2 linked regions of the Oryzias latipes genome follow. Each later gene encodes a partner of the first gene's protein in a complex. Links are inferred from orthologs where the notes say so. Each region holds a gene or a part of one and is shown in the gene's direction. Other genes may lie near its edges. The genes, in order: cftr and gopc.

Region 1 (15,700 bases):
ATATGTGCCACAGTAGACAGAATAGCAGTAATATATGCAGTACTGCTAATGCACAACACAACCAGACAAACAATTTGATTTAAAACATTTAAACATGCATTTTCATTTACATCAACTTCTTGAGTCAATCAATATTTTTTTAACATTTTTAGAAATGCAAAGATAAACTCAGTGTAAAGCACATGTAAAACATAGATATAGTTATCCAGAAAGACACAAAAATACATTTTAAGGTTTTTTAAAGACTGGCATGACAGACTTTTATTGGAATTTATTGTTGAAATTGTTTCTTCCCTTTTTCTGTCTAATGAATGTGTAAAATTAAATGTCTCGCCCTCAGTGATGAAGGTTTTCACAAAAACAATCAGGTGTTTTCACACAAACAAAGCTGTGATGCTATACTGGTATTTCCAATGTAAAGACAGCGTCTCCACTTTTACTTTGAGGACAGATGTAAGGCGAGTGATTTGAACGCAAAACTAAAAACAGGAGTCCCGTAATTCCATTCTGCCATATCTGAAAATCCACAACGTGGTGTTGGGCTGCTAGTCAGGGGCTGTTGGGCTCTCTGAAGGTGGGGTGTGTAAGGTGGGGGTATGTGAAGAATTTTGGAGGCAACAGGTATGTTTGTAACACTTGAGTACGTGTGTGGACAGGCCCCGCCCCTTTTGATTAACATTTACACCAGACAGTAATGAAGATAGTCCTCCAGCATCTAGTTGCGTATTAATTTGTACACCCCCACCACCACCTCTGTAATCATCTTGAGATTTCCTTAACTCCCCTTTTCCCCCTGTCTTCTGTGGCCTTACCCCCTGTCTCTAACATCCCTTCCTTCTTAAAGGATAAAGGATGAAATCAATATAAATAAAGTTTAGCCTAAATTACAAAAAAGGTTTATACAAATACATGCCTTGTGTGTCAGAGGATCCAGAACCCCCTGAAGTATCGGTAAAATATGTACAACACAAGGGGCCTTCAGCTCCTATCTGTGTGCTCAGCTGTTGGACAGGACAAGGAAGAAGAAAGAAAAAAGGACATTTTTCTAGAAATTATTATTTCATATCAGAGATCAAGTATCAAGTTCATACTGGAATACATCAGCTGACACATATCTGTGAAAGAAAATCTGGATTTGAGAGAATCTTGTTCCATCTGTGACTTAAAGAAGTTAAAGAAGTTTTGTGTTAAAACATCCCTTTGGTGATGAGCGTTGTGTTTTTTGCTGATTTCATTCTGCCTCCTGCTTTTGACACTTAGCTGTTAACTTGTTTCCGTTTGCACTCCATTTGGAGCAGCAGGAGCTGCAGATGAAAAGGTAGGAAGTTTTCCTCTTGATGTTCCTCAGCACAGTCTCTGTGTGGACTACGATCACCTCTTCTTATGACATGATGTGTCCTTGTTTTTGTCTTCTTGCAGTGTCCGTCGTGTGTTTTTTGTTTGGTGCTTTTTTCTATTCAGACCAGTGTCAATTTTTTTTGTTATCACATGTCACACTTTGCCTTTTGGGTTAAATTACCTTTGGGTTTCTGTGATATTTTTTATTTATTTATTTTTTTAGAAAAAATCAGTCTATTGCCCAAAATGATAGTTTTCTAATTAGAAAAACATTTTAGAAGGACTGCACATTTAGCAGATGATTAAATGTGTTATTTCCCTTTTTGGTGTTTATCAGGGTTAGTGTTAAAGTCAATAACCCAAAGGTTTTATTTAAACCTTAAATCCTTTTTTACATTGATGTTGTCTCAAAGCAACAAACGAGGACAATGCTAAAGAAACCGAATCATGCCCAAGAGGGTTTGGAACTTTTCAAAGTAGATGTTAAAACATGGTCAAATCCAGTTCAACCCATTGACTGTATATGAGAAATGGACTGAGTGACTCCTCCCCCCTGGCGTTCCAAACAGGAAGAAGCCAAAATCCCATAGAAGTCTATAGAAAAATAAACAGCTGTTACTTGGTCATTCTATTGGTCAGAACAACCCTTCTTACTCTGATACATTTCTTAACATGTTCTTGATAATCCTATTTTTTTCATGATAATTTTTATGCAGCACAAGTTATTAAAATTATAAACTGACCAATCAGTTGCCTCAAAAAGTATGTGGTCTCAGTTCTAAACGTTTGATTGACAGATTCTCCTAAACTCGCTTTCAAGTAGTAGGGGTGTGGCCTTTCAATAAGCTCACTTCTGATTCGCAGTTAGTGGTTGCCATAGAAACATTGACTCAGACCAATTCGGACCAATCACTGCCTACTGGCTCCAACATGGTGGCGGTGTATGAATGGCGACTGAATTGACTTAATTTCATAGGAGCCACTTACTCCGTCTGATTCCCATTTACAGTCAATAATTTGACTCAAATCCTTTCAAATGATCATAATTACAATTTGTTTAAAGATTAATGTAAGTGGCAAACACATTAAATAGAAGAATTTTAAATTTAATGTACCAAGCTAAACATTTATTTTAACATCTCCTGAAAGGAAGTAACCTTAAACTCATGTGACCAAATGACAAATGAGGACAAAGACGATTGTTCCCAGAATATCTATCTTCAATTCAAACCAAACTTTATTTATAAATCGTGCTTCTTATGTATTGCGCAGCTAGAGGTGCTTTACATTTAAAGGGCCTATCTTATGCTACTTTTAAGGATTTTTTTAGAGTAAACTATATCCATATATCTTCTTCTTTCTCTTTCGGCTTTTCCCATCAGGGGTCGCCACAGCGAATCATCCTTTTCCACCTCACCCTATCATGAACATCTTCTACCCTAACGTTAGCCAACTTCATGTCCTCTGTTAAGACATCCATGTATCTCCTCTTTGGCCGTCCTCTTGCCCTCCTGCCAGGCAGCTCCATCTCCAACATCCTTCTACCAATATATCCACTATCCCTCCTCTGAACATGTCCAAACCATCTCAGTCTGGCTTCTCTGACTTTGTCGCTAACACAGGCAACATGAGCCGTCCCTCTGATGTACTCGTTCCTTATCCTGTCTAACCTGGTCACTCCTAAGGAGAACCTCAACATCTTCATCTCCGCTACCTCCATCTCAGCCTCTTGTCTCTGTCTCACTGCTACCGTCTCTAACCCATAGAGCAGAGCTGGTCTCACCACTGTCTTGTACACCTTTCCTTTGAGTCTTGCTGGCACTCTTCTGTCACACAACACTCCTGACACTTTCCTCCAACCGCTCCAACCTGCCTGCACTCGCCTCTTCACCTCTTTTCCACAATCCCCATCACACTGAACTGTTGACCCCAAGTACTTAAACTCCTGCACCTTCTTCACCTCAGTCCCCTGTAACCTAACACTTCTACCTTGATCCCTCTCGTTCAGACACATGTATTCTGTCTTACTACGACTGACCTTCATGCCTCTTCTTTCCAGAGCAAACCTCCACCTCTCTAGCTGTTCCTCCACCTGCTCTCTACTCTCACTGCAAATTACAATGTCATCCGCAAACATCATTGTCCAGGGAGATTCCTGTCTTACCTCGTCTGTCAGCCTGTCCATCAGCATAGCAAACAAAAAAGGACTCAAAGCTGATCCTTGGTGTAGTCCCACCTCCACCTTGAACTCCTCTGTCTGACCTACAGCACATCTCACCACCGTCATACTTCTCTCATACATGTCCTGAACTACTCTGACATACTTCTCTGCCACTCCAGACGACCTCATACAGTACCACAGCTCCTCCCTCGGCACCCTGTCATACGCCTTCTCTAAATCTACGAACACACAATGCAGCTCCTTCTGACCTTCTCTGTACTTTTCCATCAACATTCTCAAAGCAAAAATGGCATCAGTGGTGCTCTTACGGGGCATGAAACCATACTGCTGCTCACAAATCTCCACCTTCTTCCTAAGCCTGGCTTCCACTACTCTTTCCCACAGCTTCATTGTGTGGCTCATCAACTTTATTCCTCTATAGTTGCTGCAGTTCTGCGTGTCACCCTTGTTCTTAAAGATCGGGACCAGAACGCTTCTCCTCCATTCCTCAGGCATCTTCTCACTCTCTAGAATCCTATTGAACAACCTTGTTAGAAATTCCACTGCTGTCTCTCCTAGGCACTTCCATACCTCCACAGGTACGTCATCAGGACCAACGGCCTTTCCGCTCTTCATCCTTTTCAGAGCCTTCCTAACCTCATCCTTTCCAATCTCTGCTACTTCCTGCTCCACAACAACCACATCTTCCTCCCTTCTTTCCCTGTCATTTTCCTCGTTCATCAGCTCCTCAAAATACTCCTTCCATCTTTTCTGTACACTCTCCTGGGTTGTTAACACCTTTCCATCTCTGTCCTTAATCACCCTTATCTGTTGCACGTCCTTCCCATCTCTGTCTTTCTGTCTGGCTAGCCTGAACAAGTCCTTATCTCCTTCCTTTGTGTCTAACCTGTCATATAGCTCATCGTAAGCTTTCTGTTTGGCCTTTGCCACCTCTCTCTTCACTCTACGCTGCGCTTCCTTGTACTCCTGTCTACCTTCCTCAGTCCTTTCTACATCCCACTTCCTTTTAGCCAACCTCTTCCTCTGGACGCATTCCTGTACTTCCTCATTCCACCACCAAGTCTCTTTACCGTCTTTCCTCTTTCCAGATGACACACCTAGCACCTTCCTACCTGTTTCCCTGATAATCTCTGCTGTAGTTTCCCAGTCATCTGGAAGCTCATCCTGACCACCCAGAGCCTGTCTCAACTTCTGCCTAAATTCCTCACAAGTTTCTTCATTCTGTAGCTTCCACCACTTGGTCTTCTTTTCTGTTTTCCCTCTCTTCTTCTTCCTGACCTCCAGAGTCATCTTACACACCACCATGCGGTGCTGTCTGGCTACACTCTCTCCTACCACCACTTTGCAGTCATTAACCTCTCTCAAATGACCTCGTCTACATAGGATGTAGTCCACCTGAGTACTCCTACCTCCACTTCTGTATGTCACTCTATGTTCCTCTCTCTTCTGGAAGTAAGTGTTGACTACAGCCATTTCCATCCTCTTCGCAAAGTCCACCACCATCTGTCCCTCCAGATTCCTTTCCTTCACACCAAACCTGCCCATCACCTCCTCATCACCTCTGTTGCCCTCACCAACATGCCCATTAAAGTCTGCTCCAATAACAACTCTCTCTCCTCTGGGGATACTCTCTATGACCTCATCCAACTCACTCCAGAATCTCTCCTTCACTTCTAATTCACAGCCAACCTGTGGCGCATACCCACTGACTACATTCACCATCACCCCTTCAATTTCTAACTTTAGGCTCATCATCCTGTCTGAGACTCTTTTCACCTCTAGAACACTGTTTACAAACTCCCCCTTCAGAATCACTCCTACCCCGTTTCTCTTCCTATCAACACCATGATAGAACAGTTTGTATCCTCCTCCAATACTACGTGCCTTGCTGCCCTTCCACCTTGTCTCCTGCACACACAGTACATCTACCTTCCTTCTCTCCATCATGTCTGCCAGCTCTCTGCCTTTCCCTGTCATTGTGCCAACGTTAAGAGTCCCTATTCTCAAACCTATGTTCCTGCCTTTTCCCTTCTCTCTCTGGCCACGGACCCTTCTGCCTCCCCTCTTTCTTCCACCAACAGTAGTCAAATTTCCACCGACACCCTGTAGGTTAACAGCATCGGTGGCGGTCGTTGTTAACCCGGGCCTCGACCGATCCGGTATGTCTAAATCTTTCTCGTGGATGATTCGCATGGTTATTTTGGCAATTTTTACGCCGGATGCCCTTCCTGACGCAACCCTCTCTATTTATCCGGGCTTGGGACCGGCACAGAAGTTACTGGCTTGCAACCCCTGTGGCTAGATTGCAACCCCTGTGGCTAGATCCATATATGTGATAATATATTACCTTTGGCACACTTAGGAACTATTTTTGTAAATGAAATTATTGGTTATTTTCACAGCTCATTTTCTGAAGTAACACAGCTCATTCTTAGAGTCACTGCCGTCCGCTCCATGTGGGTGCCGCCCATTTAATGACGTCAATCTAGAGTCGTCTTCTGCGTTTCACCCACAAAAACAAGCAACATCTAAAGTTTTGCAAAGATTGATGTCCATGTTGTGCACATCAAATGAAAGCATTTAGCCGATCATCGCTAGCTCAGTGGAGAACGTGAGTGTGTGTGTTAGCCAGGGGGCGGGGCTGGCAGCACAGACTCTTCCTGGAAGGGGCTGTTCTTCCTTTGTGACGTCACAATGTGAGGACCCGCTCATTTTCGTGGGTTGGGAGGGGCTGGTGCTAAAATCTTTGCAACACACTCCAGAGCAGAGTATTCTTGTTTCTGTGATAAGGAACTATCAAATGCTGTATTTGTTTGTGTTTCATTCTCATTTATAGTTTTTTTTTCTTTCTCCTTTGAGAAACTTTATTGTTGTTGATCCATTTAAACTCAAGTCAGGATTGAGCCTCTTTGGACATACAAGCAAAGGCTTTTCAATGCTTTACTTTCTTAGTTTGATCTCTAGCAAATTTCAAAATTCGGTTTCAATAAATTCCCCTTTTTACTTTTACGGGGGAATCATGCTGATAAACGTGTTTTTCTCTCTTAAGGACTTTGCGTCACTGCCTGAAAAAGACAAGACAGCTCTTGGTGAAGGAGGATCGACGCTCAGCGGCGGTCAGAGGGCACGCATCTGCTTGGCCAGGTACTGACTGCACAGCTGTGCATCAGTCTGGGCACAGACCTTTGTTTTCACCAAATGTGGGCACGAATGAAGTAAAAAAAAAAGTTAAAAAGTCCAATAACATTATTTTAAAGTAACATGTGAAGGATTCAAACGGTTTGGGAATTACTAAAAGTTTATTTAATATTTTAGGAATATTAATTTTTAATCATTTTAAATTACAAAGGTACATTTATAATCCAGCTGCTTTGATTATCAGTGGAAATCCAGAGGGAAAAAGGAATTTTTCGCTGTTATCAAAATAGTCTGTCCCTTCACAGAGGATGGTTTGCTTTCTGTTTTGATTGTGTGTGAAAAAACTCCTTAAAATGTTTTACTGTTTATGCAGAAACAAATCATCAGACATGTTCTCATTTTCCTGTGAACGATTTATTAGTGTTATGTTGTAGCAGTGATTTGTGGCCTCTGATTGTTTCTACCCTCACTGGAAAGGGTCAGCTGGAATGATTTACTGTATTTCCTCACCTTTCCTTTGCTTCATGTTTAGGAACAGCTGTGCTCATTGTTTTCTCTTTACTTCAACTCTTATTTTTAATGTTTTTCCTTTGTGTTCTTCTCTGACTGGCTGCATTGGCACTCTGTCTTCCAGGAGTGTGTATAAAGATGCAGCCCTTTACCTGCTGGATGCTCCTTTCACCCACCTGGACATTGCAACAGAGAAAGAGGTCTTTGATAAGTACGTATGCCGACAGAAACTCTTTCAAGCAGCAGTGGGGTGGGAGGGATGCTAAAGTTCAAGGTTAAGGTTTTCTCTTGTTGTTTCATGTTTATTAGCTGTGGTGAGCAGTCGGTCTGTAAGAATTACACTCTGATGAAATGATGTCTGGTGTCATGAGACACCTTATTCTGCATTCCAATATGTGCTTTTCAACAGAAACCGTTTGTATATTTTGCTAAAGATCCATTTGAGCATGCCTCATCCTCTTTCCACAGATGTGTCTGTAAGCTGATGGGCTCCAAGACCCGTGTTGTGGTCACCAGCAAGCTAGAGCACCTCAAGCGTTCAGACAAAATCCTCATGCTGCACAACGGAGAGTGTTACTTTTATGGTACATTTTCAGAGCTGCAGGCACAACGCCCCGACTTCAGCTCCCTCCTGCTTGGTCTTGAAGCTTATGACAACATTGTCGCGGAGCGACGCTCTTCCATTCTCACAGAAACTCTTCGCAGGGTCTCGGTTGACGAAACCGCTGGCTTCCGAGGCCCGGAAGCACTTCGCCAGTCGTTCCAGCACGCGCCACCTCAGGGTCACAACGGGGTTGATGGATACCCTGAAAAACGCAAACAGTCTCTCATCCTTAACCCCATTGCAGCTGCTCGCAAAATCTCCTTTATAGGGAACTCCCAGCAGACAGGCACACTCCAGCCGTCACTCATGGAGGAGGGTGGCAATGAACTTTCCGACAGAAGATTCTCTGTGGTGCCGGAGGATGATCAAGTGGAGGAAGCACTTCCAAGGAGTAACCTGTACCACCACGGGCTGCAGCACCTCGGTGGACAGCGGCGCCAGTCCGTCCTGGCTTTCATTACTAACGCTCAGGGCCAAGACCGCAGAGAGAGGATGCAGTCATCGTTCAGAAAAAAGCTGTCTGTCACACCACAGTACGACCTGGCAACAGAGCTGGACATCTATGCACGGCGCCTGTCCAAGGACAGCGTTTTTGAGATCACAGAAGAGGTGGAGGAAGAAGACATGGAGGTGTGCCCAATACACAGGCTTTTTTTCATGTGTTATCAAATGCAAACAAATGTTCTTCAGTCAACATCTGGGTACAAGTGTCTCTTCTGTTTTCCACAGCAATGCTTTGCAGATGAGCGTGAGAATGTCTTTGTGACTACCTCGTGGAGCACTTACCTCCGCTATGTTTCCACCAACAAAACCCTGATATATGTCCTTATTTTCATTGCTATTGTTTTTGCCATTGAGGTAAGATTCAAACCCTTTTCAAGTCCATGCTTTTAAAGTTGTGAGCATAATATGAACATCTCTGTCCTTGTCTCCACTGATAGGTTGCTGGTTCAGTCATTGGTATTTTTCTCATAACAGAGTGAGTGTCAGTGTTCCTCAAAACTGAAATAAAACTCTTCATTGTCAAACAGAAATCTAGTTTTCAGAGTCTGAGATATTTGTTTTGGAGTGTTTGTTGGAGTTTTTTGGAAATGTTTTCCTTTTCACATTATGTTTAATTATGAACCTTATCAATGGTAGGTTTCTAGAATTAAGTGGATGTTTTGAACCTTAAGACAAAATGTGATCATTTTTCCGTTGAAGCATAGCGTGACTTTCTGTCTTCTGCTCTGTTTTATCAGTAAAGTCTGGAGAGATGGTGCCAACCCAAACTCACCCAACTACATCGATGATCAGCCCATCAATTCCTCGTCCCCCCCGGTCCATCTGGCAGTTATTGTGACTCCGACCAGCGCCTATTACATTATTTACATCTTTGTGGCCCATTCAGACAGCATACTGGCCCTCGGAGTCTTCAGGGGCCTTCCTTTGGTGCACTCACTGCTCACCGTTTCCGAACGACTTCATGAGCAGATGCTGAGCGCTGTGCTGCGCGCCCCCATGTCCGTGCTCAATTCCATTAAAACAGGTGCCCTTTTCTTTGTTTTGATGTCATATTTACCACTTTTGAGTAACCACACTGACTTCCATTCTCACTGAAGTGGGGTGTAAGGCTAACTTGGATATGTCTGTGTGTTTTAGCTCGCATAATGAACAGATTTACCAAGGACATGGCCATTATTGAAGACATGCTGCCTCCTATGCTGTTTGACCTCATACAGGTATTGTACAATAAAAATGTAACCAAAAATTTCAATGCAGGCAAAATCCTATCTTTGTAGGTTCAAATGAAGATCAAAAAAAGGGTTTTGGTGCTGGTTGGTGCAGTCACCTCTTGCTTGTTCTTTGTTTCTTAAAACTATCCAGTGCAGTTAAATTCATCTGCAGTCAAAATGCTCTTATTTTGTTCAGAAATATGGCGGATGCAGGATGGGGACTTGAACATGACCCTTGGTCTTTAATTGCATTTCATTCTTAAAGGCTGGAACTTGAGACTTGACTCCAAACCATTGACTGTACATGAGAACTGGACTGAGTGAGTGGGACGTCACCCATAGAAAAGGATTTACTTCCGTCTCCAACCAAATGAAGTCATTTTTTTCTTTTTTTAAAATACTGATGTCGACATGCTGGAACCAGACACCATCAGTAAACAGTGATTGGTCCAAATCAGACTAAGTCATTGTTTCTATGGCAACCACTCTCACCAATAAGGAGTGAGCTTTACAGAAGTTCACACCCCTACCTCTTGAAAGCGGGCTTCACAAAATCTGCCAATCAAACGTTTTAAATGTTGAATGTGAGACCAGCTGTTTTTATTGAGGCTCCTGATTTCTCAGTTTATAACTTAAAAAACTTGTAACAAAGAAAAAGTATCATGGAGAAAATAAGAATCATCAAGAACATAGTAAAAAATGTAGCAGGGCCAAAATTATTATTCTGACCAGCAGATTGACTAAATAACAGCTGTTTATTTCTCTATAGAAGTCAATGGGATTTTGGCTTCTAAGAACCAGCAGGTACTTCCTGCTTGGAGCAACAAGGGGGAGCAGTCACTCAGTCTCTTTCTCATAGAGAGTCAATGATCTAGACTAGCTCTGTGACTTGTGAACAGAGTAGTCAACCCCTGATTGGAGGATTGCAGGTTTGGCTCCCGCCCATGAATCAAAATTTCCTTGGGCAAGACACTGAGCCCCACAATGCTCCTGGTGGTGGTTACACGTTGGCGCCAGTGTTCAGTAGTTGAGCCGCCATCAGTGTGTGTGAATGGGACTGTAACTGAAAAGTACTTTGGGCCTTTGAGCAAGGTAGAATAGAACTTTACAAGTGCACACCATTTATTTCATTTGATTCCATTTCAATTCAAATACAGATTGGGGAGTTGATTTGAACTTGCAGGTACTGTAGGTCTTGTAAGCATCTTTGAAAAAGGGGGTAAGTGAAAAACCTGCAAGCATTTTTCTTCATTCAACACCTTCCACCACCGTTCAAGGAGGCCCAAAGTGCTGTACATAAAGTTACATCAACAAATAATATGACGATAAAACAAAGAAAAGGATCAAAACAATTAAACAAGAGTTAAAAGCATAATAAAAGGTCACCTAGGCAGATAATGAGGCACGTAAGTGGAGGAACAGTTTCTTTAAAACTGTCCAAGAGGGTAGCTTCTATAATAGCCTACAACAACCTAAATAACATTCCTTCCTTCATTTTTTGGATGCCTATGTATTCTTTTATTCTATCCATAAAATGCAAATGCAAAGAAACTATTTTTGTGTCTCATTGCTGGGTACTGACAGCCACATGATGTCTAGTGCAGAGTGGACTAAATTATGCTTTCTGATGGAACAAGTACTTTGTTTGAACCACATTTATTTGGTCATCTTTTATTTTGTCGTATATGTGGTTTTGAATTGTAACTTATGCTCTCCTATCACACTCTTTCTCTCACCTTAGTTAACACTACTGGTCATCGGATGCATCTTCACCGTGTCCATCATGCGACCTTACATCTTCATAGCTGCCATTCCCCTGGCTGTCATATTTGTTGTCCTGAGGAAGTACTATCTACGAACAGGACAGCAGCTCAAACAGCTGGAGGCTGAAGGTAAATAAAGGTCCTTTGTCTTAAAAAGTGTCTCTAAACTGCTGCTGCTGATGATGTGTCAGTACCAACCCCCCGTCTTCTGTCTCCAAAATTAACACAAAACAAGTGTCAAATAATCCAGTTCCTCAACAGATTGCTGGTGTCAGAAGGGAGAAAATTCCTACTGACTCCCATGTTGGAAGTGGGGTTTATTAAGAAACATATACCATCTTTTCCGCAGTATAAGTCGCAGCAGCCTAAAATACATAATAAAGAAGAAAAAATCTTATCGCCACATCACCAGTCAAACAATGCAAAACATTGTGACTTATACTCCAAAAATATCATATACAGTCGGATGCTTTTATTTTTAACTAGTCAATCATTTTACTGCTCAAATGTGGTATTATTTGGGTCAAGCAGGGCCACACTCTGGTGCAGAGGTTAGCACTCTCACCTCACAGAGTGAAAGCCCTGGTTTGTGTGGAGTTTGCACGTTATCTCTGTGCAAGCGTGGATTTTCTCCTGGGACTCCAGTTTCCTCCCACAGTCCAAAAACCTTCTTCATAGGTTAACTGGTTACTCTAGAGTAGGGGTGGGCAACCATTTTGACTCGTGGGCCACAAAGGCTTTTTAAATTTGTCAGAAAGGCTGGATCAGGAGCAGATCTGTGTCGTGTTTTGATAATCCACCATGAAAAATTTCATGGAGTCTGGACAAAAATAGGAATCAATTTTGATTAAAATTTTTTAGATACACATTAAACAGAACATTTTAGAGCTATTATTTTAAAACTGTTTTTTTTTTCATTTTCCCACCAATTGCACCAATGATGTTCTTCATTAAAAACACGAACTTTGAGAAATGCTGCGTTCGTGTGCTTTTGGAATGATTGGAAACATGACTGCCCCACTTGAAAAACATACATAAACATTAGAAAAACTCTTCCAACACCACATGAATACAGAATGTATTTCTGCACCTAAAACACGTATTTGTCGTCAATATATTTGTAGAGCACCATCTATGGGGGTACACCATCATCACAGAGAAAATAAAACATTAATAAGCATAATCAATGTTTTATTCCAGTTTGGTGGGCCAGATTAAACAGTTTAACGGGCCGCATGTTGCCCCCGGGCCATGGTTTGCCCACCCCTGCTCTAAAGCGGCTCTAGCTGTTCATGTCTTAGTGTGTGTGGGAGTGATTGTCTTGGGCACACATACACAACATTTCTTTTGGACTGGATGGAAGATAGAAGAGACAGAGAGTGATGGATGTTAGAGATGGAGGACAGGGGTCCAAAAAAGGGAAAAACGGAGCTCAAGAAGCTGGAGAATGATTAAAGAATAGGAGAGGGTACAGTTCCGAAAAAACGCATGCCTTTTTGATTGGCAGGTGTGTGGATCCTGGTGGACAAAAAGAGCTGAAAACGCTACTTTGTCCCACTATTTTTGGAATGTTCCAGAAGTGGGCAGAGCAAACTGCCCATCCCACTTCAGGGTTTGTTTTTGCCAGGGAGAATCCAATGGGTGACGTCAGACATTTTCTGGCTGACCATTAGCTGCGAGCAGGCGCCGAAAAAAAGCCCCTGAGGTCCAGCTGGTTGTTGTTTGTATTTCACTGCTAAAGTCTTGAACTTTAGCCTCCTCTACTTTCAGTAGAGTCAGTTGCTTTTTCAGGGATCCTTGACGGAAAAATGAGCATCAGTGCTGCTGTTAAAGACCCACTTTGAGAACAATCAAATCCATCGTTCAGACGTGGTGAAATGACGAAGAGGGTTGAGTGAAAGTGATGCCATGATGAGAGTGTAACTGGTGGAGTTTTCCGCTCTGCGTTGTGTTCAGGCGAATGAGAGACCACACTTGGATGCCGAGTCAAACTCTTTTAATCTGTACCTGGTTAACAGAAAATACAAATTCAGAATGCTGTCTGGAGTTTCTTCTGTGTGATTTTTTTCCCCCTCAGCCACGGCTCCCAGCAGTCTCAGTGCTCATGCTTATTAGCACCTCCCCCCACAGCATGTAAAGTAATACAAAAAGAACACGATAAAAAGAGAAAACTGCACCGTACCTGGTTAACAGAAAATACAAATTCAGAATGCTGTCTGGAGTTTCTTCTGTGTGATTTTTTTCCCCCTTAAACAATTGAAAAATGAACAAAAAAGAAAGAAGGAAAAGTTAATTTAAACATCAAAGAAAAATGGCGCGAACCTCAACTAGTTCACGCGAAGCAGTGCAGATCTGCTGATATAGAGCAGCCAAAAATAAATAAAACAACACAAATTACGTAAAATTGACACCACACGATTCCCAACTTTGTGAGTTATGAGTGTAACACACTAATGAACAATTTACAAAGAAATAAAACTAATAAGGGTGGACACTCGGCGATTCACGTCTTACCTCAGCCACGGCTCCCAGCAGTCTAAGTGCGCATGTTCATTAGCACCTGCTAGCGTGCTCGTGGTGAGTTCAAGTACCCTCAGACAGATGAAATACTCTGGTGCAAATGTATGAAAACGGCAGTTTACCATGGATTTGGTGGAATTACACTAATAAACTTAACACTCGTTACATTCACCCCTCCTAGAATTCCACCAAATATTCACAACACATCGGCAGAGAACCAGGTTCGTGCAAAGAAACAGAGACCAATTTCGCAAGAATCAAATTCTTGAATCAGTTTAGAGAAACTATCTGATTTAACAGATTAAAAGAAGTAAACAGGTTGATCAAGTCTGTTAACCCTTTTAGAATACAGAGATGCAGCCTACATCCCTAATTACACTGGTCAAAATAAATTAATAACCAAATGTCATAATACACAAACATCAACAGCAGATGAAAAGAAAAAGACCCAACTAAACTGTAAGTCACACCCACACAGGTTCCTGCATCATGACTTCTATAAATCTGGTCACAGGTTTAACTACGCGACCCGTTCTAGAAACAAAGTACCCTGGAACATGGGCTGAACTCACTGGTGGTACAGATCTATAGTCACTGTTGGATTCTTCGTGTCCTGAGTCAAGTAAGGGACTAGTGTCAGTCAGAGGACTGGTCACATCAGCTCTTGGTGAGTCACCGTCAGCACCGGCAACGACTGGTGGGAGATCAGGGGTAACATCCTCTTCAAGGTCCCCCAAAACACTGTGGGAACCAGACGCATCTGATCCCAGACTAGTTTTCACTGAACCACCGATGATGCTGTTGTCACACCCAGACGAAACCCAAGTAGCGGTCCGCTCTTCCGGAGAATCATGTAGGAGGCTATTCAGGTCACTCAGATCCACGCTTTCTGTGTCACACCCCTCCGAAGTTGCTCCAACACCAAGATGTTGTGACTCAACAACAGGAAGGAAGCTTACATCAAGCAGCAGATTCCTGTGGACAACTTTGCAGCGTCCGTTCGAATCCTGTATTTTGTAGACATGAATTTGTGGTTGACAGGCCACAACAGTGTAGACTGTAGGTTCCCATTTGTCAGCCAGTTTCTTCTTGCCACGTTCACCTCTATTGGCTAGGAGCACTCTGTCGCCAATCTGGAGGGCAACACCCTTGATTTTTTTGTTGTACCCCTTTGCCTGATGTTTTTGCTGATGCACGGCGTGCTGCTGTGCCACTTTTGCAGCCTCTACAAGGTTTGTGAGAAGTGTGGCTGAATAGGTGGTGAAATCAGTCACATCAGAGTCATGAAGAACTGACCGGAACACTATATCAACAGGAAGACGGGGAACACGACCAAACATTAGATAAAAAGGGGCAAACCCTGTAGTCTCATGGACAGTGGCATTATAAGCAAACGTCAATGTCTGGATTTGCTGAGCCCACTCCTGCTTTGTTCTTAAAGGGAGTGCTCTGATCATGTTGCCTAATGTGCGGTTGAAACGCTCTGTTCCTCCGTTGCCCATAGGGTGGTAGGCAGTGGTGTGAGACTTAGCCACACCTGACAGACGCAGGAGTTCAGACAACAGTTCGCTTTCAAAATTGGCCCCCTGGTCAGAATGGATGCGCTCAGGGAAGCCATAAATGCAAAACACATTATCCCAGAGCTTTTTGGCAACTTGTTTCGCTGACTGGTTGCGACAAGGAAAAGCATGGGCCATCTTCGTGAAGTGATCGGTTACAACTAACACTTCCACAGAACGCTTGTTCTTGTCCTCCGCTGACCAAAAGTCAATACAGACTAACTCCATTGGAGCAGTGGTCCTTATGCTCTCTAGCGGAGCACGCGCGGCTGGTTCTGGAGTCTTGGCAAGAACACAACGTGGGCAACACCGGACATATTCAGAGACGTCTCGTTCCATATATGGCCAAAAGAACCGCTGCCTAGAAAGAT
Region 2 (16,434 bases), on another chromosome or scaffold:
GGATCGTACTGTGTTTTGTTTTTTTTAGAAAGTTGTGCAAAAAGTTACAAAAACACAGATGCGACGCGTAACCTGATAGATCTTTGCAGAGCAGCCAGAGAACCATGAAGAAAACAGAGGCAAGACCTTTGGCAACAGGAAGCTTCTTATGAAAAACTGATAAGAAAATGACGAAAGTTAAAAGAAAAATAAAGCTTTCCTTAAATATGCGGAAGAAGATTCTTATTCATTTTCATGATGTCTTAAAGTCTTCTCTTCTTACAACATTTCACCACTCAGACCGTCCTCAAAGAAAACAATTTTGTTTCTATTCTAAATGTGACTAAAATAGAAGCAAGGTCTTCATCGCTATCAATTTTGTCTTTAAAATTTCAGTAAACTTTAGCTTCGAAACCTCTTATCGATGTGTCGGTGGAGCCATGAAATCTTTTCAGTTTGATTATGACTAAACAGGAAATCACAGATGAGCTGAACGTTTCTAACAGATCAGTGTCTAAAAAAGACTGAATGACTCGAATACTGGAATTATTTCCCCTTTTTTTGTTTCACACGGAAGATAAAGATCCAATTTTCTAGTCTATTTATTTTCCTTAACTAAAGTACTGTCAAAAATGGTTACAGATGACTCTAAATAACATTGATCGGTTTTATTTTTGGCACATAATGTTTCTCCAACATTCAACAATCTAGTCATATTTTATGGATATAAAGTTGTAACATGTACTGCAGATCATTTTTACTTTATCCTGACTGTTAGGAACAATCTGAGCATAGTTTCAATGACGTCCCTTAAGGTATCAGTGCAATTTTCCAGTGACCTGCAAGACACACCTGTGCTCCCCTTAAGATGCTGCTGCCTCTCTCTACGGGCCTACACAACCCAAAAACCTGCAGCATTCGTCAACACCCCATTGAGGGGAAGGGACTAAGACTAAGTCAGTCTTTTCAATGCAGGGTCTCTGTCCAACATAAACACTTTATCTTTAGGCACCTTTTCTCAGGCCCTGTTCTAAAGTCATTCTCCTCCATTCTCAAAAACATAGCTGTACTTGCCTTTCCTCTACATTTGACAATAGTGCTTCCCGTGAAGAGTTCAGTGTCAGGTCCATTCTGAGATTATTAACTTTGTCCAGCCTTTGATTCATCTTTTACCCCTGCTCAATGGGCAAAAGCCTCCAGGGCTTTAGATCTGAGTCCATAAGTATCTTTAATGATGAAACTCGACATTGTGAAGTTACTGCTACCATGAAGAACTAAATGATGGCTCAAAAGTAAATTTGACTAACAGAATTGACCAATGCATGTCATATTTCTTTTTTTTTTTTATAAATGTTGTTTTTCAATGTTACTCACATTCATTCAGCTTCATTTTTTAGGCTTTACAGTTTATGTCTTTCTATCCATGGCTTGCAATTTTATTTTCAGCCAAGTACAACCAGCTCATATTTTTGTTCTCAACATGCTACTATTAATAAAAACCCCAAATATAATTATTTGTCATAGAATCTCCCCAGAGCAACACAGTCATCATCATTGGAGCTGTGGTCGGTGTGGTTTTGGTGCTGCTGGTCGTCGTTACCGTTTTTCTCTTCAGAAGCAGGACAGCCAAAGCCACAAAGGATCAGAAAAAAGGAACAAGTACAGTATTTTTTCTTAACCCACAATGAATGTGATGAGGTTCTGATGAAGAAATCAGAACACTCCAAATGTAGCTGACTTACAAAGAAATGTTGGCACCATTTAACAACAGCGTATGAAGTTCCTTTTTACTTCTGAAACCAGTCATTGTGAAGTGTGATTTTTCGTAATATTTTTTATCCATTAAATCAAATCTTTTCTGCTGTTTAATTTCGTAGCCCCGTGACCCCAAAAGGGACAAAAACTGATTTAGAAAGCGAATAAACGAAAATTTTCCTATAGTTATGACTCAAAACATTTTTTCTTAAAACTGACAACGAAGCTTTACAGAACAGAAAATCATTTCTGTGGATGTCAGCTGGTTCCTAAAATCTACCTTTTTTTATTTCAGACTTTCAAAAGCCGACACATCAAAATGTAAGTATCATTACACAAAAGTTTACTAGTATAAGTAATGAAGGTATTTCTTTAATAATAAAAAAATATTCTTATCGTGTACTTTAGATAATGTCAAGTTACTTTTATTCCAGATTGTTAAAAGACATCCTGGGGCAATTCAACTTTATTTTAGCATACTCATGACAGTAGTCATGTTTATTCCTATTTTATGATTATTAAGAAAATCAAACATAATCTGCATATAATTTACTCATCATGCATTCATCAAACTACAGTGTTTCATTGATGTCTGCTTTAAAAACATGTATTCCCCTCTGTGTTTGTGTTCAGTCTGAGCTGCAGAGTGAGCCAGAGAGTGACCTGACATATGCTGCGGTTAACTATTCCAAATCCAAGGCTTCCTCTAAGATTACAGTAAGTCACTTTGGTTGCTGTGATCCTGGTCTCCGTACAAGTGTTGGGTTGGTTAACATGACTGAGTACAGAGAAGCAGTAATCTTCTAAAAGTTTTTTAAAGCGAGTTTTCGATTCAGTTCCCAAAAAAGCAGTACTCTAAACAAAAAATTGTTTAACAGGTAGTTTAAAAATGTCATATTTTATATTATTATATTATATTAATATTATATTAAGTTCAATACATTTTTTTACACATTAAAGGTACATTTTACACATAATCTTTACACATTTATATTAAAGTAGTATATTTTAACCACAATTTTGTGGTGGTTTCAATTACAATAAATTAAATGGCATAACATTTTCTATTTCAGAAAATGATAATATTGTGATAAATTTAATGTTCGAATTTTTTTTGTCTCCATCTCTCAACAGTTTTTAGAACAACAGTGTTGGATGAGAACTATTTTTTTTTGTGTTCCAGATAAATGCGGAAGAAGTTCAGGTGATCTATTCGTCCATTAAAATAGAGTGAAAAGAAGCAGACAGTGATGTCTGACGACTCCACAGCTGCGTCCTTTCAGCAGTGACTTCTGTCCAGCTGATGATGATGATGAGGACAGCACATTGGTGCACAGTTTCTTTTTAATGTGTTAATATGCAAAACGAGACATACTGTAGTACAAATAGTTTATCTTATAAAGCATTTTCTTTTTTTCCCTTCTTCTCGCAGCTTTTTGTTTTTGTCATGTTATATCGCTTTTCTAATATTAAAGCATTCAAAGGTAAATGAGATTCTGACAAAAAGCAATAAAGATGTTAAATTGTATAACAATAAAGTCATAAAGTGTCTTTTATAAAGCATGTTTCCAACGTCAATCTAACATAAATCTCGTTAATCTTGTTCTTTTAGATTAAACCAAGTGAATTTACAAGTTAATATGTATTTAACAAAGCAAACCACCAAAAGAGATAAAACAAACTGCATCCACTGCTGCCTGGAACAATGCTGCTACCCAAGAACACATTTCTTCTCAGCTTTTACAATTTATTGTTTTATTTTTATTTTTTTTGCTTGGGCTGCAGCCAAAAAATAGAAATAAAAGACTAAAAATAAAAATGTGGACATTAAAAAAGTAAAAAAAAATGAAAAAAGAAAAAGAAAAAACTTGGGTTTAGGCGGGAACTTGTTTGATTAATTTCAAGCATTAATTGAAGTCAATAAATCATACAGATTTATCATTACAGAAATGATGGAATGCATAGATAAACATACAAAAAAACAAAGGCACACTTAAATATAGTAATCAGTAACTAAAGTCAAGTAGAACTTGAAATATTGTTTCAAAAGGTAAGAAGTTCAGAGCACTGTCTAGTGGGTCTAGATGACCCAACTCCCAATGTTAAAGTGCCTAGGATAGCACAAGGGATAATCCCACCCCTACTGAGTTCATTCATTTTTTAGTTTTTTTTTAGTTTTCATACTCCGGTTCTGATCAGATAGATTCTTTTCAAGTAATAAAATCAGGTGATTATTGAAAATTAATTAGCTTCAGTAAACATTTATTCATGAATACAGTAAAAAGTAACGTGAATCACATACTATGTAACAGACAAGTGGAACTCTTTGATTACAATCAGAATACAATTTAATTAAATCCAGAAATCATTGCTACACATTGCAGCTCAAGTAACAAAACCGAGCGCTTATTGAATATCCTCAGAAAGAATTCTTACATCTTTTCAGTAAACATTAATGAATAACACTTTAGGTAACTGATATGTAATAATCATTGATTATAGAACACATGATCACATTAAACCAGTGATCATTGCTGCACATTGCAGATCAAGTCAAGATGTTTAAAAACTAATTAGTTGTAATTAAAACATTTCACTTTTAGGAATAGTTTTTCTTTATCACAAATTTGCAAGCATATTTGGTGAATTGCCTCTGAGCTCGTGCATCCCCACCTATAAAATCCAAAATGACGTAACCGAGTGTGGTAACCCGCAGATGGCGAGAGAACCAAGGTCAAGTCTGCATATTAAAACCGCTCGCTACAGACCAGTGATGTGCAGTTATTTGTGGCTAACGGAGTCTTTCAGAGTCAGATTTACAAGCAAATGAGCCCAAATATATTTACCAACTACTGATTCAAATCTCATCAGAATCTTTTTACAAACATTGCAGAAACATATTGGACCGAATATGATTGTAAAATGTACATATATAGAGTGATACATAAAACAACTAAGTTAGCGAAGCAATTATTCCATTTTAGCTTATATGTTCTCTTTTTCATAACAGTGGAGGATGACTTTAATTCGCCCGTAGGAGGTGGTAGGAACAGAGAATTGCAAAAAGGCATTATTCATTAAATAACAATGCTATAACTATCAGGATGGAAACTTTATACAACTCCTAAAGTGCATAGATTCAATTTTTGTGTGCGTGTGTACTGATGTGACAACGGAAATATACAGATTTTAATCAGCTTATTTATATTGTTATGCTTCCTAATATCTCGGGTAAATTCCTTTTCTTTTAAATTTGCTTTTAATGAAAAATGTAGACTTTAACAATAAAAATGAAAAATTACAGTTAAAATCAAACACTGTGGATCAATCAAGAAGATGTGACAGGCAAAAGCCCTTAAGAGTCAAACCAGTGATGGATGGTCGTACATTTGAAGGTTCCTACTTACTAAGAAAGTTGTTTGAACTTGTTTTTTTTTTCTTTTTCCTGCCAATATTCTGTGTTCTTCAAAATGTCAGACAGGTGAAACTCTAAAAATCCAATTAGCTATGAAACTGTTGTGATTCAGACATGAAGAACAGTTCAAGTCAGAATACTCACTGCTCAAACAGTACATTTGTGAATCATGCTTATTTGTGGATCCGAGACGACATGTAACCCAGCATCCTCAGCAGTGATGTTCCTGATGAGCAGGGAGCCGTCTCTGCTCACACTCAGCCTGGAAGCTGCTGCTGAACACTGTTCAACTTCTCTGGTAGTTAACAGAAGCTGTTTGGTTCTCTATAGTACAGCCACTCCACATTGTAGTACCAATATCTGGATAATCTACTCTGACAAGGTATCTCCATCTGTTCCATTGAGGTACTCCTCTTTTCCAACGATGCCTGCAGAGAAAAGATGAACACTTTTTACAATCATCAGCAGGTTCTCCACTAACTTTCTTGAACTTGACAGCAATCAAACTGGGTGTCTCGATGTTAGTTCAAATCCATAATGTCCAAACCAAAATGTTATTGCCCTCCATCGACTCTCACTCTCTTTCCTCCTCCCGTCTTGAGTGTACTCTGTCCTTTCCGTCTCCTCTAACCTCCTTTTCACGTTCTCTAACCTCCTATACCACTGCTGTTCTTGTCTACAGTCTTGTTATCTCTTGTTGACATTATAAAAACTTGCTTTTCCCTGGTCTCACTCACAAACATCTCCTTTGAGCCTCCGTTCACAATTCAGCAGCTCATACCATCTCTACAACCACTTCCATTTATTACGTTGGTTCTCCAGCAGTTCCACAGGTCCCAGATCAATTTAAATTCAAAATCATTTTATTTATTTGTTTTCTACTTTTCCGGTCCAGCATCTTAGCAAACAGCTGAGACCTGAGGGCCTCTTGTGTTGGACAGATATTACTTATACATTTGGGAAAGGTGTTGCTTTGGACACAAGGAGTAAATTTACATAAACGCCTTCTGTATTTAATAAAGAAAATGTGTGGAATTTGTTTCTTTTTGGCCGCTCTCTTTGATCATCTTCCTTTGCGCTTGCCACACCATCAAATGCTCAATTCCCCTCGGACCTCAGGAATATCCGTTCTCTATTTCTTTTCACATCCTCACTCAGGACTACCGGTAATTTTCTGCTTTCATTCCACAAACGTAACAACAGTGTCATATTTTTGCTCTTGCTTAATGTGATTTTGTTATTCATTGTTTTCTAAATGGTGTATAGAATTCATGAGCGAAAAATGTAGTATTAGTTTTATATTGTAAAACTTTGAATCTAAAATATCCAAAACACATTCAAATTAGATCCAACAAGATTTTTTGTTTTGTTTTGTTTTTTTAAATTGAAAATTTCATAGTTTTTGGATCTTTAAAAAAAAAATCTGCTAAACGTAAGGTTAAATATTAAAACAGATATTTCTTTAGAGGAAACATACCATTTTCTTTTTTTATTTTAAAATTAAAGCAACACAGTTAAAGTATAATTGAGTTTTTCTCTAAATTATTTTGAGCAACTTTGATCACAGTTTGAAAATAATAAAAACAAAATATATCCTCATCTACAAACCGAAGTATGAAAATAATTATCATGCCCAAAAGGAGAAACATTGTGTGTCTCTCAGTTTTTGAACTGCTGAAAGTGTCACTTTATGCTTGTATTTCCTCATCTGTGATGATTTAGAGTATTCCATTACTCCTTCCAGAAATGTAGGTTTCATCATTTTTTGCACATGACTTTTAGTAAGGGTCACTATTAAAGTTTTCACCAAATGAAGTTTATTTTCAACTTCAACTAAAAAAAAGTGCATGCAAGTATAAATGATAAAAGTAGTTCTTAAATAGAATAATGAAACATTTATAATTTTAATTCAAAATGCCATGACACGTTTATTTAGACATTTAAAGTTGTATTTATTTATTCAACTTGTCACATTTGGTCCTCCATATCTTCAGTTTGTTTCCAGTCTTCGTTGAAGTTGTCTGCAATGACTTCTAAAGTCCGGCAGATGTCGCTATTATGTCACACAGCAATGAGTTTCTACCATCCAACACACTGTTTACACCGTTTAGGAAATGTGCAACTCACAATGACGCTTTATTTGCCCATCACTATTGTGAGAACACGATTACGACCAGGTTAACATAATTTCCAGGATTGAAAAACATTTATAGGAAATAGTTTGACCCCTAAACATAACATAACATTATTTATTTATTTTTGCTTTTTTAATTCATTTAATTTTCACATGAAGGTAGACCTTGTGCAATCCAGGTGATTGAGTATCGTAAAGATAGCTTTAATTTTAAAACGTGTCAAATATATAATAATTATTATTTATAAATTAACTAATTTGTAATATTATTATTATTATTATTATTATTATTATTATTATTATTATTATTATTATTATTATTATTATCATCCAGATTCTGACTCAATTATTTATTTATTTATTTATTTCCCTATTTTCTAAAGGCGAACAGGATTTGGATATGCAGGTGACGTCACTACAAAACAAAAAAAATGCCGCAAGAGTTTGCGCAGGAAAACTAATGGAGCGCCCATCCGTCCGTTCAGACCGTAATAATCGCTACGCCGAAAGCTCGATATCCTGATGACGGACTTCCGGGTACCGCAGAGTTTTCTCCGTGGTCAACCCTCCGTTCCTGTCTTCGGTCTGGGTCTCTCTTCTTAACTGCTTCCGCGGACCGCCGGAGATCTTTTCTGCCTCAGTTTGCTCAGCCCCTTCTTCCTCGGACATGTCATCCTCCGCTGGGTGCTCCCCGTCGGGCCAGAGCTCGGGCCTCGGCCCTGCTCTGTCTATGTTCCGGTGGCTGGAAGTGCTGGAGAAGGAATTTGACAAGGCCTTTGTAGACGTGGACCTCCTGTTGGGGGAGATAGACCCGGACCAGGTGGACATTACCTACGAGGGTCGGCAGAAGATGACCAGCCTGAGCTCCTGCTTCGCCCAGCTCTGCCACAAATCCCAAACGGTCTTCCAGCTCAACCATAAACTGGAGGTGAGTGTGAAGGGACTCCAGCCAGGGATTACTGAACGTGATAGCTGTCGTCATGTTTTTGTTTGCGTGTCTTTCCCAGATAAACGTGGAAAAGTCAGCATTTTCTCTAACAAGATTAGCTACTGATCTGTCTAGCTTTTAATTCACAACAGACATTACCATTGCGGTAAAAATAGGCGACCTATAAAAATAAAAGCTGGGGTTTTATTCCATTATTTTATGACAGGATTAATAAAAGTGGGGCCAAAACATTTTTCACAGACATAGGGAGCCGAACTGTTTTTTTTTTGTTTGTTTTGCCTTTGTTTTGTTGTTTTATTGTTACTGGTCCTATCACTCCAACGTAACAAAAGAGTTATCTATTATGTCGAACACAGGAAAATCTGGTTGATTTGGGGGAAAGAAAATCTGTCACCAGTTTTTCCAAATGATTCTTTTTGGACCAAAGCATCTGGATGAAGATCTCCTCTCTTCATCATATCTCCTCCCAGCACCTTCTGACAAACTTTAGGCCCCCTTAATTCTCACCAGAAAATGTTAGCTAATGGTTGTAAATCCACACAGAAACCACTGGCTATGGTTGCCATAGGCAACCACATGGTTACAGTTGTTTTCCATGCAAGAACAGGATGACATGGTCAGAGGATGATATGCGATTGCTGTTGGATGCGAATGAATCTGGTTGGTCGTCTTATTTCCTGGCTTCTTTTTTACCTCCTGCGCTGCTCAGATGAACTTGAACCCTCCCTGCATCCAGATGTGCCAAATGCATCTTCTTATTCCCTTGAAAAGTTTTTTTCTTTATGTAGTGAGGAAAGTAATTCCAGAGGGAGTTAAAAAGTGTTCTCAAATGCGTGTAAAAAGAGTTTATAACATGTTGAAAAGCTGCTAAACATTCAATTTCAGCCACAGCAAGAGGTCAGATAGGAATATTTTGAGGCTTGGAATATCCAAAAAGTCTTGTTTTGTTTCATTCTGGCATCCAACATATACTCTTCACCAGCACCGGTACCGGTCCGTGAGTCATTTGGTACCGGGCCACAGAGAAAAAAAATAATAATTTACATGACTTCTGTTTTATTTATTTAGGAATCTGAAAGATGTTTTATTTTGAAAAATTGCCTGATTCTCTGTGACATCCGTCTATGTTACTCTTGATGCAGGCCAAGACGCTCCTCTCCGTCACGTGACAGATTACAGCTAAAATAAAACCCAGGAGCTAGCAAAAAGAGTAAAAAACAAACGTCTTTGGAAAGTTTCTTTGCCAAAGGGAAAACGCCCAGCCAGGAGACAGACATTTAATAGACAGTGCTTCTTTTTTGCACCATGAGTGTGGGAGGGGGAGAAGATGATGACACCTGTGAGGTGTACAGTGTCATGAGTGAGTGTCAAAATAAAAGCTTAGGGTTCGTCTTGCCACATCTCTGTTGGTCGTTTATCGTAGTATAGCGACAATAATCATTCACCTTTAATTACATGACCGGTCCGTGGAACCTCTGTGTGACGTCATACTGGTCCGTGGCGTTGAAATGGTTGGGGACCACTGCTCTACACAACTACAACTGTCTGTCTACGAAAGGAAACGTTTGTAATAGACTGTGGTGTAATAAATGCCAATGTCTCTGACCGCATAAAAACATGGAAATCAATTCCTAATTTGCAATGCAAAGTGTTGATATTTAAACTCTGGAAACTCAAAATTTTTGATGCTCTGCTGCATGAAACAGAATTCCTCTAGATGCTCAAATCGCATAAAAAGCTAAAAGAAAAAACAACAAATTTTGCTTTGTAATTTACCAAAACGTTTTTGTTTTACACATGTATCAATAATTATGAACGAAGCAAAAAACATTCCTATATATTCAGAAGGATTTTTCTTCAGAATTTCTGATCTGCATCGTCGATGCAGGAGCTTTGTCTACGGTTACTTGTCTGAGCTGGTCCGGAACCCCTTAAGCAACTGTGGTGCTGTCCGTTTGAGTCTTGCTACGACATACAGTTCCTCTCGTCATTCAACCTGCCAGGTGGAGTACAGTCCCTAAATCAAGGATCTGTTACAGGATTATCTAAAGGTCGGTCCTGGTCTGACTTGTCTGCATTTATGTTGAAAAACACTCTTCGCTTGTCTCCAGGCTCAGCTGGTCGACCTGCGCTCCGAGCTGACGGAGGCGAAGGCTGAGCGGGTGGTGGCGGAGAGGGAGGTCCATGAACTGCTGCTGCAGTTGCACGCTCTCCAGCTGCAGCTTCGGGCCCAGCAAGGCCAGACAGAGGACTCAGACACCATCAAGGACAGACTGGTAGGTTGGATGGTCAGACGGTCATCGATTGATCCATCAAGTAACATCAAATGAAATCCATTAGGTTCAATTCTAATGGTAAAGTTCTGTATGATCCGAACAGAATAGATCTAACAGTTATCGGCCGTTTGGAGCTAGCAGTCATGGGTAACCTTATCAACGTTAGCCTTCAGCCGTCCACCTGGTGTTTTCAGACATCTTTATTAAAGACATCTCTGGTTAGACAGGATAAAGAAATATAAATTAGTCAGAATGCGACTACAAAACTAAAACAGCATTGTGCTTTTAGCTCCACTGCTCTGCACTAATGTCCTCAATGAATCTCAGAAAGAGGAGTTTTTATGGAGCTTCTTACATCATAAATGTCTCCAGAAGAATGCTCCACTGGGACAAACAGTGACAGACACAGATCTGGGTTTCAGAGGCTTCAATGGGGCGGGAGAATCCTCCACTCACTGTAAGCTCAGCAGGCCACAGTGGTGGAAAATTCACTTTTATCTGCAGATCTCTGATGACGCTGAAGAGACTCAGCGAAACTAAAGAAGATAAGAAAAGGTAGAAATACATCCAAACCGCATGAAATGACCTCCAGCAGCCATACCAAAGATTTCTCCTCACTGCTAAAGAATACATTTTTCCATTTCTTTCATTTAGAATATATGGGATTTAAACAAATAGAATGTTTATTTTAACTCCTTTGTTTACTGTTGCAACTGATGGTTTGGTCTTTTACTGTTTCCATCTACAGTTTTCTGCTCCCTTTCAGCACCATCCTGAAGCCCTGATATGCACTTTGATTCTTTGTCATTTTTGCCTTTCCTGTGCACACATTAACACCAATCAAAGATGAGTTTCTCTAACCCACATTTTCTTCTGTCTGTCCTTTCTCCTCTTCTGTCCTTAAAGCCTGCACCAACTCTGGAGGTGATGGTAAGTTCTCCTCTCCGCTTTGGTGTAGCTGTAGATTTGACACCATGGGATCTGTTGCTTCCCTCATTGAGCTGATATTTACTTCCTGCTGCTTTGTCGACTCTGCTTCAGTGGCTTGTTGGGTGGAAACGCCACTCCCTCCCCTCCCCTCACTGGCTACAGTCATTACTTGGCCAGTCACCATCTTGGAAATGGAAATATGAGCTCATCAGTCAGTGTCAACGTTGACTTTTTCCATGAGAATGTTTTCTGAGATGGCACTTTATGGTTACGCCAAATCTAATAACTGCAAACAATCCTAATGAAAAATTTCGTTTTGTGCAATGATTTGGTCTAAATCCTAAAGAAACTTGTATATCTAGATGAGAGAAAATATCTATTGTTTTTTTATGAAGCTCTACGGCTCAAAACAGAATTAGGAACTTTATGGTACTATTTTCCGTCAAAATGTGCCTCACACCAAACAAACATGGAGGAAGTCAGTAGCAAATGCGCTCCAGACTAGAAAATTGTTCCGTCGCATGAATGTAGTTTGTATAGAAGAAGACCGACGTGGATCAGACAGCATTTGTTTGTAAAGTTTGTAAGGTGTTGTGTCAAAAAGAAAGCACTTCCTGGTGAGGAACGCTGTCAGACGGGGTGCAGGGGGGTTTTCTCTTTTGGCAAAACACCTGTTGACCGGTCCTAACAACAAACACACAACTAATGGAGTTTGTCGTCTCTACAGGAACCATAACCAAGAATGCAGAGAGAATCAACAAGCAAAAGCTATAAAAGCAGCGTCTAGTGACTGCAGAAGTCACACAAAAGTCCAGACGCTGCATTCAGGCACAGCTAGGAATTGGCCTATGCTAAATAGTAAATATGTTTAGCAGTAGATGTTAACATGATTAACACTTGGAAAAAGGTTCTAAGTGAAAGAAGTATTTAGTTTCTATGACCATTGTTCAGTTAGTCGTGTCACACTGCCTTTCCACGTTGCAATGTTACTGATATCTTAATCAGGATATAAACCTAGCTATGTCATGATATATAACATTTTGATCATTTGGAGCATAATCGTCCTAAAACCTATAGTTTGTTGTGTCGCCAGTTTGCAAAAGCTCAAACGTGATTAGTTGTGCTTTTTTTTCCAGGAACAGGAACTTATGGCTGGTAAGAAGGAGAAGTTAGCTGAGGCCAGACTGGAGAAAGAAGTGCATCTGTTTAGGAAGGAAAACGAGGCCCTCCGCAGGCACATAGCAGTACTGCAAGCTGAGGTGTACGGAGCCAGATTGGCTGCCAAATATCTGGACAAGGAGCTGGCTGGAAGGTGAGAAGCTGGAGGGAGCAGCGGGTTTAAAGATAAGACCTGGTGATGAATCTTTTTCATTGAGTAAACGAGACTTAGGTTGTCTAAGGGTTGTCTTCCCTAAGAGGCTGGCACTGTGACTTTCAGGGTGCAGCAGATTCAGTTACTCGGTCGGGACATGAAGGGACCCGCCCATGACAAGCTGTGGAACCAGCTGGAGGCCGAGATTCACCTCCACCGCCACAAAACTGTAATCCGGGCATGCCGAGGTCGCATCGACCCAAAGAAACCTCTACCCTCTCCTGTGGGACACGTGAGTGGAGATCTCAAACATCTAAATGCCGTTCATGTTTTCATGGTTTCGCTAAAAGCTATCGGTGCAATTCCAGGAACATGACTTGCTGAAGAAAACGCAGGGAGTCGGTCCTATCAGGAAGGTGGCGCTGGTCAAAGAGGACCATGAAGGCTTGGGGATTTCTATCACGGTAAATACACGATTGACCTCTTTTGTGAAAAATAAAGCAACTATCTGACACATAGTAGACCCATAGAAGGCATTGGTTTGAACCAGGCACTTTGTATCTGGGAAATGTAACCTTAAGGAAGCACCAATTACCAGCCATGTTTTAGATTCTTTCTTAGACTTTTCAGGAAGTGAATTTGTCACTTTGGTCTTAAGTAACCCTCTGCAATAGTAATGGAACAAATGTGTTAAACTTCTTAGATCCTGTTTTGGCTTTAGATCCTTTAACTTGGATTTCCTTTTAGGGCGGGAAGGAGCACGGCGTTCCCATCCTGATTTCTGAGATCCATCCCGGTCAACCTGCAGACCGTTGTAGAGGCCTGCACGTCGGAGATGCCATCCTCGCGGTCAACAGCATCAATTTAAGGGATGCGAAGCACAAGGAGGCAGTCACCATCTTGTCACAGCAGGTAAGGTGTGGCTGCAGTCCCCGCTGTGGCCACAGGGAGCGCTCTCTGACCTACTCATTGTGGCGATTGTGTTTTAGAGAGGCCAGATAGAGTTTGAGGTGGTGTACGTGGCGCCGGAGGTGGACAGCGATGACGAGAACGTGGAGTATGAGGACGACAGCGGACATCGATACCGCCTCTATCTGGATGAATTGGAGGACAGCAGCAGCGGCGGCGGGGCTCCACCCAACAACAACGCCGCCTCACTTCAGGGTGAGATGAACTAAAGACAAATTGACACAATTGTCCAGATTAGAGAAACACGTTTCACCAAACTCAGACTATCTGTCGGATTTGAAAAGTATAAAAAGGTTTTGAATTGGATTTTTTAGGACTTTGACTTGATCTCGTTTGATTTAACACCAGAACTTTAGTTCCAGTGTTGACACTCTTTCGGCTATTGTAACCTTTTACGCCTCTAACGTAGTAATTCCCTCTGATTCTGCTACTTTACTTTGGTGATGTGTTGCATATGGGTGCTAACCCAATAGGAAAAGCTGCTTTTTTCCAAGAGTCAAAGACTTACGGTACATCAGAGAGTACCTTATTTAGGTGTTACTGGTGACATTTCTGGTGTTAAAGGGTTGAATTCAGTCATAAGAGGTTGACTTTGATTGTTTAAAATGTTAAATATTTGAGTTGCACTAATGCACTATTGCACTAATTTTAAAGAGTTTTTTTCCTTATCGGTTTGTGCTAGGGCTGCACGATATGAGGAAAACTTGCGATATGCGATATTAGTGATCAATATTGCGATAACGATAAATTTGCGGTAAATAAACAAATAGTAAAATAAACAAAAACATCATTCCCATTTCATTGCAACAGTTTAAAAATTATACTCCAAATGACCCTCATCGACATGGGGTCAAACGTCAGGGTGGCTAACCCTGGTCCTCAAGAGCCTCAACCCTGTCTGTTTTCCAATTCTCCCTAGACTGCTCGATAATGATAACCAAAATCAGGTGTGTTCAGTCAATCAGGATGTGAAATCACTTGAGTCAGCCAATCAACAGCAAGCTGGTTAAGGAGAGCTGGAAAACAGGCAGGGTTGAGGCTCTTCAGGACCAGGGTTAACATAATAGGCCTCCATCTGATTGGTCAACAATGGGAAGGCGTCCATCTGATTGGTCAAAGCATAAAGGGATTTATTTGATTCGTTAAATGCTTCAAGCTGCTAGAAGATTGTTTTAACACATTTTGGGTTTGCGATTTATTGCGATATTCGCCGTCTTTTACGATATGCATATTGCAGAGCTGGATATTGCGATAACGATAAATTTGCGGTATATTGTGCAGGCCTAGTTTGTGCCCAGTTTATTTTAGTCTGTTTAGTTTAGCAATCATGTTTTGTATTTTATAACTGATTTTATGTTTTGTATAATATCAAATATTATTAAAGTATAAAATATTCATTGACGATGCATCTTATGAGTCCGCGAATGTTAATGGTAAATTGGTAAAATTACCTTTGAGAGCCCAAAATTCCCTTGACATGTTTTGGGGCCTAGAGTAGAAAGTAGTCGCAGTGCCAACATCAATTATAGAGCCCAGCATGCTTTGCTGCACAGTGAAACGCTGAAAGTGATCTTTTTAGTAAAAAAGCTTAATTCTGGTGGTTTTAGAATGGAGACCGAGTTCGTCAGCAATGTTAAGACATGACCTTTTTGTGCGGGATGTGAGCAACAGATATTCATGAATGTTTCCCCCTCCTTCCCTCCCCCCAGCTCTGGAGAACATGACCCTAAACAGCGGAGCAGAGAACGGAAACCCAGGAAGCTGCTGCGAATCCCGTCCAGACGAAGAAGGAGCTCCAAAGCCCCCCGAGAGCGACGCCTCCTCGTAGGAGATCAGTGGAATGAACTGAACGGAGTCGGTGACAATCCGAGGGAACGAACTGATCAGTATCTTGCTGCGGGGGGGTGGGGGTGAAGCGGCCATTTTAAGACTCCCACTGAAATTTAGAGGTGTGTCTCTGGGTGGGGGCTGAATTTCTATTACTGTTTATAATCAGGGGCAGCAGTGTTGAGGGGACTAAAGACTGACAGGGGCACATGAAGACACTGCAACCATGGAGGGGGGCCTTTTGCTGTACAGTATGCACATGGAAACATCTCACACTCTCAGAGAATAACCTCAACAGATCCTCAGTCTGATAAATTGACAAACCCCTTCCAAAATACAGGCTCCCATTGCTCACCCATGGACATCAGCTGGTACCCCACCCCTTGGATCCCGAATGAGGATGCCCATGAATCAATGGCCCGTCACTCACCTCACTCTTCTTTCGGTCACGTCTATCCGGCATACATAAGACAGTTGGGGGGGCAGGCAGGGGGAGGGGGCACAGAAAGTATGTAACTTGCTGTAAATTGTATTTTATTGTAGTTTTTATTGTGCGACTCTGGCGTAACACACGGCTGCTCGCGACCGAACGTCTCCAGAAGTTTCTTCAGGTCTTCAGAGGTCAAACCCTTCACCCTGGACTTTGGAGCAGAAATATTTATCCGTAAACACGTCTGTGACCCACCAGTGTTCTGACCCGGACCACCTTTAACTGAGGAGCGTGAATGCTTCCACGTCACTTCCTGTCTTTTCTCTGGTTTCCTGTCTCTGGCTGAGCGTTCTTTTACTAAGATTGTAGAGCTTTTCTTGTTTTTGTTTTTTAAATAAAGGCTGCTTTAGGTTTGCGTTGTTTGTAACCGAATGAGGTCAGTTTTTGAAGCCTGAAGG

The links.
Region 2: the proteins of cftr (region 1) and gopc are in contact, whole or in part, in an NMR structure (PDB 2LOB), measured with the Homo sapiens proteins. The link is inferred for Oryzias latipes from reciprocal best matches to the Homo sapiens genes CFTR and GOPC. Residues at the interface, in NP_000483.3 of Homo sapiens: Val1475, Gln1476, Asp1477, Thr1478, Arg1479, Leu1480; in NP_065132.1 of Homo sapiens: Gly298, Leu299, Gly300, Ile301, Ser302, Ile303, Thr304, Gly305, Glu308, His309, Glu317, His319, Thr347, Lys348, His349, Lys350, Glu351, Val353, Leu356.

The regions. Positions count from the first base shown.
Region 1 is NC_019864.2:3,329,605-3,345,304, forward strand, and holds part of cftr (cystic fibrosis transmembrane conductance regulator), read left to right. Parts: intron 1-6,569; coding exon 6,570-6,664; intron 6,665-7,292; coding exon 7,293-7,379; intron 7,380-7,636; coding exon 7,637-8,402; intron 8,403-8,501; coding exon 8,502-8,630; intron 8,631-8,713; coding exon 8,714-8,751; intron 8,752-9,013; coding exon 9,014-9,300; intron 9,301-9,413; coding exon 9,414-9,493; intron 9,494-11,228; coding exon 11,229-11,379; intron 11,380-15,700. UniProt on the Homo sapiens protein: Epithelial ion channel that plays an important role in the regulation of epithelial ion and water transport and fluid homeostasis. Mediates the transport of chloride ions across the cell membrane.
Region 2 is NC_019882.2:11,933,259-11,949,692, forward strand, and holds gopc (Golgi-associated PDZ and coiled-coil motif-containing protein), read left to right. Parts: upstream 1-7,762; 5' UTR 7,763-7,950; coding exon 7,951-8,211; intron 8,212-10,343; coding exon 10,344-10,508; intron 10,509-11,414; coding exon 11,415-11,438; intron 11,439-12,574; coding exon 12,575-12,750; intron 12,751-12,876; coding exon 12,877-13,042; intron 13,043-13,118; coding exon 13,119-13,214; intron 13,215-13,497; coding exon 13,498-13,662; intron 13,663-13,739; coding exon 13,740-13,914; intron 13,915-15,428; coding exon 15,429-15,547; 3' UTR 15,548-16,404; downstream 16,405-16,434.